Schizosaccharomyces pombe: one gene and its partner. The protein of the gene in region 1 interacts with the protein of each later gene in a biochemical or structural test. Each region holds a gene or a part of one and is shown in the gene's direction. Other genes may lie near its edges. The genes, in order: rbd2 and cdc48.

What was found.
Region 2: the proteins of rbd2 (region 1) and cdc48 form a complex in vitro, tested with the Schizosaccharomyces pombe proteins (one study listed by BioGRID).

Annotation. Positions count from the first base shown.
Region 1 is NC_003421.2:2,244,016-2,247,943, forward strand, and holds rbd2 (Golgi rhomboid protease Rbd2), read left to right. Parts: upstream 1-1,832; 5' UTR 1,833-1,944; coding exon 1,945-2,110; intron 2,111-2,156; coding exon 2,157-2,433; intron 2,434-2,587; coding exon 2,588-2,900; 3' UTR 2,901-3,228; downstream 3,229-3,928. Other genes in the region: pep3 (ubiquitin-protein ligase E3), read left to right, coding at 26-1,339; Ran GTPase-binding protein Mog1, read right to left, coding at 3,577-3,928.
Region 2 is NC_003424.3:1,304,373-1,308,300, forward strand, and holds the start of cdc48 (AAA family ATPase involved in ubiquitin-mediated protein degradation Cdc48), read left to right. Parts: upstream 1-2,072; 5' UTR 2,073-2,084; coding exon 2,085-2,140; intron 2,141-2,196; coding exon 2,197-3,928. Other genes in the region: knd1 (cullin-associated NEDD8-dissociated protein 1), read right to left, coding at 1-1,170, 1,209-1,245. UniProt on the Schizosaccharomyces pombe protein: ATP-dependent chaperone which probably uses the energy provided by ATP hydrolysis to generate mechanical force to unfold substrate proteins, disassemble protein complexes, and disaggregate protein aggregates.

The DNA of each region.
Region 1 (3,928 bases):
TTAAATTTCTAACATAATATATTAGATGAAAATTCAAAAATCGTTGTTAGTTAACTGGCTTTTAGAGTTAATGCTGGCCAAATTGAATTCTCTTGATGAAAAAGAGCGTCTCGAATTATTTCCTGAAAATGTAATGCAACAGCGCCAACAGGTTCAACGGGAGTTTTCAACTCTTCTTAATCAATACAAAGATGAGATAAATCGTGAAGCAGCTTATAATCTTGCTAATAACTATGGTAAGGAAGAACAGTTACTTCAAATTGCTACCGTTATGAAAGACCAGTCTTACATAATGCACTATTGGGTACAAAGAGAGAACTATGAAAAAGCGTTGGAGACATTAAATGAAGGCGTCAGTCAAGAAACCCTCATTCAGCATGCGACTGCCCTTTTAACTCATCGACCGAATGAAACTGTCAGCATTTGGGAACGTCAAACAGATTTGGACGTACATGCATTGATACCATCCCTCTTGAGTTATAATCAGCGTTCTCACGTACCGGTAGAGGAAAATGCGGCCATAAGATACCTTAGATACGTTACTGGTGTTTTGGGGTGCGTAGATCCATCTATTCATAATACATTGTTCTGCATTTACGCTTGTCATTCGAGTTCTAATGAGTCTTACTTAATGAATTATATTGAACAGCAAGGAAATCATCCTTTGTACGATATGGATTTAGGAATTCGATTATGCTTGCAATTTAACTGTCGGAGAAGTGCAGTAAAAATTCTGGTGCTTATGAAGCTGTATAGCCAAGGAGTGGAATTAGCCTTAGAAGCAGATGATTGTGAATTAGCTGCTACGATAGCAAATATTCCAGAGGAAGATGTTGTGTTGAAAAAAACTTTGTGGCAGACTATTGCAAAATATATGTTTTCCAAAAAAAGTGGAATTAAAGAAACCTTGAGATTTTTAGAGAATTCCGAGGTTTTACAACTTCCCGAGCTTATTCGCCTATTGCCAGAAGATATAAAACTGGACGATTTAAGTGATAATGTGTGTGATGAACTGGATCATTGCATGAAAAGAATTGAACAGCTGGACTTCGAAATCGGACAAGCATCAGAAGTTGCGCATGAAATACAAACTAACGCTGAAAATATGCGTAATAGGTACATTGTTTTGGAGCCCAATGAATCATGCTGGCACTGCAACCAACCTCTTTTTTCCGAACCATTTGTTTTATTTCCTTGTCAGCATGCTTTTCATCGCAGTTGTATGCTAGAAAAAACTTACAAACTGGCATCAGAAAAAAACATTTTGAAAGAATGTCAGTTGTGTGGTCCTTCTTATGCTGTAAGACTTATTAATGAACCTTTTTCGACGGATTTTTGAGTGCCATTTAAATTACCATTATTATGTGTTTTCGAGTCGTTTATTGCTTGCACCGAACAGCCTTAACGACCTTGACTTAAACAGTTTTAGACTCAATGAAATTTATACTAATGACTAGTTTTTTCACTCATATTGTCTTTGACATCGATCTCCCTAGTCGTTACCACCCCTGAAAAATTTGATATTTCTAATATAATATTAGCATTGAAATTGGAAGCTACAACTTCTTATATCTAGAATTTTTAATTGTTTTTAAAGTGCTATTCGTTTTCGAATCACGACTAAAAGTCATAATTCTTTTCTCATATATATTCTTAAACCGGTTATATTGTTTTTTGTGCTAATGAGTAGAAATAGCTCACACTCCACACGGTAAGCGTGCGATTTTAAAATAAAACCAATATTTTTGAATAAAACCCTTGGCTTTCCTTTGGTTTGTCTGCAAACGTAAGGCGAGCTCTCATATTCGCTTCAGGTGACCGGATCTTCCTTCGTGAACCATATGCCGCATTAGCGTATCCAGATCGTATTTCAGTCCCCTTTGAACTAATTTTGAAAAATTTATTAAATCAAAATTGTACGGATATTAAATTAGTAGCTTCTCGATGATTTTCATGATTCTAGGACGATCAAAGGAGTTCATTCTGAAATTACCGATATGGACGCAAATAATAACTTATATCGCCATTCTGGTGTATGCACTTTCCTTCTTTGGAATATCCACGGGGGTTCTGTCTCTTAGCTGGATAGGATTGTTGCAAAAAAGGCAGCGTAAGTTAAAATTCCTTGGTACTTTAATTAATAACGGAGAGAGTAGTGTATGAAATTATAACTTATGTAACTCTTCATCTTTCAATGTTGCATATTGTATTTAACTTTGTATCCCTGTTGCCAGCAATGTCTCAATTTGAAAAGAAGCAAGGCACTTTGGCGTGCATTTTGGTGACGGTCATTCCTTACACTCTTTTCCCGGGTATTATGCATTTAATTGTCTACCATTTTTTCTTGAGAAAAGATTACGTTTCTATTGCTGGACTTAGTGGATGGGCTTTTGCTTTTATCTCTGCTTCCTGTGTTCACTCTCCACAACGATTGTAAGCATTTCTTATAATTATGGTTGCAGATGCATACTTCCACACGTCTTCTTTCCTCACAATGTTAAGAAACAACCTGGTTTGTATGATTTTTTGCAAACGTCGAACCTCTCTTGTCTTTTAAATGATGGCGGTTTATTAACTTATTTTTTAGAATCAGCTTTTTTAATCTTTTCAGCATTCCTGCATATTGTTTTCCTATTATTTACCTAATTATGACTACCATATTGGTTCCAAAAGCTAGCTTTATCGGGCATGCATCCGGAGCTGTTATGGGGTATTGTACTCCTTTCATGCTTGGTTCTATCCCCTTAAAAAGCTGGGCTCAAAATGTGGACCCAATCTTCCAGTCTTGGGTAAAAAACTATCACTCTTTTGATCAACTGTCGCATGCTCAACTCCCCATTGCGGAACCTCTGTCGACCTTTTCTTCTTTCCCCGGAAAAGGAACCCGTCTTGGGGGATGAACTTTCTGTCTTTTACTTCTTTTCTGTTCTTCTTCGTATGATGATATCCTAAATGTTTGTTTTCTTTATTGCAAAGGGTGGAAAAGCTCCTCTCAATGAAGAGATCTTCTATCTTTTGGTAATTCTTATTCAGTATTTTCTAGTCAGTCGTTTACAGGTTTCAATCATAAAGATTGTTTCATTCGCTATATTTGTTCTTTACTTGCACGGAGTTAGGGACAATTAGAAAGTATTTTAATGTTTAATAATTCTTTATGATTAACTTGTTTTAATCACCACTGTCCTACAGCGGCAGTGTAAAGGACAAAAGCTGTACAATCAAAACACCTTGAAATTGTAATTTCCGTTATTCTTTGGAAACTAGCGTTTTACGTTGTACTCTCAAATCATAAAACATTAAACTGTAAAGACACAGTGAAACTTATACTATTAACAATGGAAGAATGGGAAAATTAAAATAATAGCAGAAAAAGTGAAAACCATTGCTAATCGGTTATCAAGTATCAGATGTTTTTATTAAAACCCTTCATACAAGTTGGAATAACCGGTTTTTATAAATAAGAGAAACAATTCCTTTCGGATAAAGAAAAATAAAACTTGAAAAGTATTTCCCTAGATGAAAATCTTAATTAAGTGTTGTGGGCTAGTTAATTTGCTTGCCTATGTCCATCATCCTTTAAGCAAATACTGTTTTATCGACAAGTACAAGAGATCGAGTAACTCGCTGTATTGTTTCGAGAGCAGCGCGAACGATGCTTTGATCAGAAGGGGGAATGTTTTCAACAGAAGAGGGAACTGAGGAAGTGTTAGGTAAAGGAGCATTTACGGAGATTACGATATCTGTTTGAAAGTCAATCAAAGTTATCACATTCACGAAGATTGCCACATTGGTAGCGGATTCAGGATTTCGCTTTCCTTTTTCAAGGACCCTCTGACAACCTTGTACAGAAGATCCACTAGCCTTTTCGCTTCTCATGCCCTCAAAGTCGTCTTCACCAAGACTTTTGTCTCTCCAAATTACTCTTTGA
Region 2 (3,928 bases), on another chromosome or scaffold:
GTTTTAATACTTCGATAGAAATCAAGCAAACAGATTCCTCTCTATCGTTTAACTTACTAACCACAGAAGTCCCTAGTGCTTGAAGGACTATAGGCAAATACTCTAAACGTGACAAAATTACAGACAAAACGACTTTCAAAGATTCTCTTCTAACAATCCAAGATACATCTTCTTCATCTTCGTAAATGCTGCTATAGTCACTCATTTCTTCGAGAAAGTCAGCGATATCATCTTCATCATTAGTATCAGATATTAAATTGGGATCATAAGAAATTTTAGAGATTAAGAGACCATGTAATTCTGGCCAAATTTTCAAAATATTCACTTGTTGGTACTCTAATAACAATCCTAAAACCTCCAACAATTTTTGCGTTAACTCATCTGGGGCTTCTTCCTTCTTTAATAACGATAATATTTTATTGGTGTAGTCAGCAACTGCTGTTGAGATGAATGATGTAGATGAATCTTTTTCTTTTTTAGATGACAGAAGTATTTCGTTAAGCAATTTAATAGAAATATTTACCTCGGACATTTGGGTCGAGGGTCCCAAACCTCGATCAAGCACCTCAATTATATATTTGTATGCAAAGCGAGGCCCATAAAGTGATACGTCAGAAAGGAGATAGCAAGCCTTTTTAATAATTAATTCTCTTTGGCATTGTGTCGTACATTTTTGGAATACGTCTATACACAATTCAAAATTGTTAGGTAGAAGAGTCGAAAGATTAGAATGGTATATTTCTAGAGAATCACAGACCACACAGAGAATTGCAAAAAATTCCTCTTGAGCAACGTTGTACTGTTTTAAAATTTGTAAAAATGAAGGGAATACAGTCGAAGTATAAAATTTGTTTACGAAAGGTTGGACGTTCGAGTTGGACAAAAGCAAACTGAGAGCAGACAAGTAATTTTTCGATTTCTTCCCAGCAACTCCAGAAAGCAAATTTTCAACAGTAGATTTTAACTTATCTTGTGGAATTTTGCTAGAAATTATAGCAACACAACGAACTGCCTCTTGTTGAACCTCTGGCGAAGCATCACTCAGTGCTTGTAATAAAACATCGAGTGTATCAGGAAAGCTCTCCAATTTGAGATTTTTCAAATGGTTTGCATCATTAAGTCGGGCAGCTAAATCGCTGAGTGCCATGTAACGTATGTCTTTATCGCTACCTGCAACAGTTAGAGCTAGTTTTTTATTTTTAACATACTTTCAACGTATTTTTTTAATAAAATTCCCTCCTCCATTTTACAATTGATTAATTTTTATGGCCACTAAGGTAGGGATTCAGCAGTTTGTACAATGAGCCTGACAGCGTGTATCATAAAGGATTCCACACCATAAGCCATATAACGAACAGTAAGTATGGATATTTAAAACACATTAAATTCCTTATTAAAGATTGAACTAATTTTATTATTGATTGTGCAATACAATCAATAACCATAAAAGAAGAATATTTGATTAGCCTTAACTTACTGCTAAACACTTTTACAAAACGCTTTCTAGAAAATTGATGTTTATAGTTATAATGATAAATAATATTGCAAGGGTTTCAAACTAAAATATTTAGCTTACTAAACCGCCAACCAAGTTTCATTTCAATTGAAAACGGATAACACTCAAAATGTTTATTTTATGCTTAGTAATGAAGTTTTAAGCACATTTAGATATAGGGCGGTCGTTCGAATTTTTGCATTTCTGTAGTTTAAAATTTCCTCGTAGATTTTACTAGAAAATTGTTTACTATTGATGTTCTTGGAACATTCTAATAGCAACGACGTTTCCTTGGTAAAAGAAGAATAGATAAATTAAATTTGGCAATTTATACAATACGTGTTTTCTAGAGATGCGTTAAATAAAAACAATCTAGCGAAAATAATGGAAATTGGTAGTAACGACCTTGCGAGGCAGCTATGTAGCAGAAAGACTCAACTGCTTACAGATGTTATTATACAGAAAAAAAACAATTAGAAGAATATTTAGAAATAATTTACCTTTTTGAGCAATAATTTCATGTATCTTTATAAATTGAATGCTCATATATAAGCGCATGGTGCATGGTCGAATGAACGCACCATCCACCATGACCGATAAGAAACCAGAAGTGGAACACCTTCAGGGTGAAAACCCTCCAAAAGAGTATGTTTTCGATGTAGCAGTAACTTTTTTTTAGAATTCGATGCTAACAAGCTCAGTACATATAGTGCAGAAGACACAGCAACAGCTATTCTTCGTAAAAAAAGAAAACCAAATTCTCTAGTGGTCGATGACGCTACCAACGATGATAACTCAGTAATCACATTGTCGTCCAATACCATGGAGACTTTACAACTTTTCCGTGGTGACACAGTTGTCGTTAAAGGAAAGAGACGGAAAGACACTGTCTTGATTGTTTTAACTGACGAAGAAATGGAAGATGGCGTAGCAAGAATTAATCGTGTTGTTCGTAACAACTTGCGCGTAAGGTTAGGCGATATTGTAACGATCAATCCTTGTCCAGATATTAAATATGCTGAACGAATTTCAGTACTACCCTTGGCTGATACCGTCGAGGGTCTTACTGGTTCTCTCTTTGATGTTTACCTTAAGCCGTACTTTGTTGAAGCGTATCGTCCTATTCGAAAGGGCGATCTTTTCGTTGTACGGGGTAGTATGCGTCAAGTTGAATTTAAAGTTGTTGATGTTGCTCCTGATGAATTTGGCATTGTTAGCCAGGATACAATTATTCATTGGGAAGGTGAACCCATTAATCGTGAGGATGAAGAAAGTAGCTTGGCAGAAGTTGGCTATGACGATATCGGTGGTTGTCGTCGCCAGATGGCTCAAATCCGTGAGCTTGTCGAGCTTCCCCTCCGTCATCCCCAATTATTCAAAAGTATAGGTATCAAGCCACCTCGTGGTATCCTTATGTATGGTCCTCCAGGTACCGGTAAAACTTTAATGGCTCGCGCAGTTGCTAATGAAACGGGCGCTTTCTTTTTCCTGATTAATGGTCCTGAGATTATGTCAAAAATGGCAGGCGAATCTGAGTCTAATTTGCGGAAGGCGTTTGAAGAAGCCGAAAAAAATTCCCCTGCTATTATTTTTATTGATGAGATAGATTCTATTGCTCCCAAGCGTGAAAAAACGAATGGTGAAGTTGAACGACGTGTTGTTTCACAATTATTGACTTTAATGGATGGTATGAAAGCTCGTAGTAATGTTGTAGTAATGGCCGCTACCAATCGTCCTAACTCTATCGATCCGGCATTGAGACGTTTTGGTCGTTTTGATCGTGAAGTCGATGTTGGTATTCCTGATCCCACCGGCCGCTTAGAGATCCTTCGTATTCACACAAAGAACATGAAGCTTGCTGATGACGTTGATCTTGAGCAAATTGCTGCTGAGACTCATGGTTACGTTGGATCTGATTTGGCATCTTTGTGTTCTGAAGCTGCCATGCAACAGATTCGTGAAAAGATGGATATGATTGACTTGGATGAAGATGAGATTGATGCCGAGGTTTTAGACTCTCTAGGTGTTACAATGGATAACTTCAGATTTGCCCTTGGTTCCAGCAATCCTTCTGCTTTGCGTGAAACCGTTGTGGAAGTTCCCAATGTTCGTTGGGAAGACATTGGTGGATTGGAAGAAGTTAAGCGTGAATTACGTGAAACTGTCCAGATGCCTGTTATGTATGCCGAAAAGTTTTTGCGTTTTGGTGTCACTCCCAGCAAAGGTGTTTTGTTTTTCGGACCCCCTGGTACAGGTAAGACATTGTTGGCGAAAGCCATTGCCAACGAATGTTCTGCCAACTTTATTTCAGTAAAGGGACCCGAATTGCTTAGCATGTGGTTTGGTGAGTCTGAATCAAACGTTCGTGATATATTTGACAAGGCTCGTGCTGCAGCTCCTTGTGTCGTTTTCTTAGATGAGTTGGATTCTATT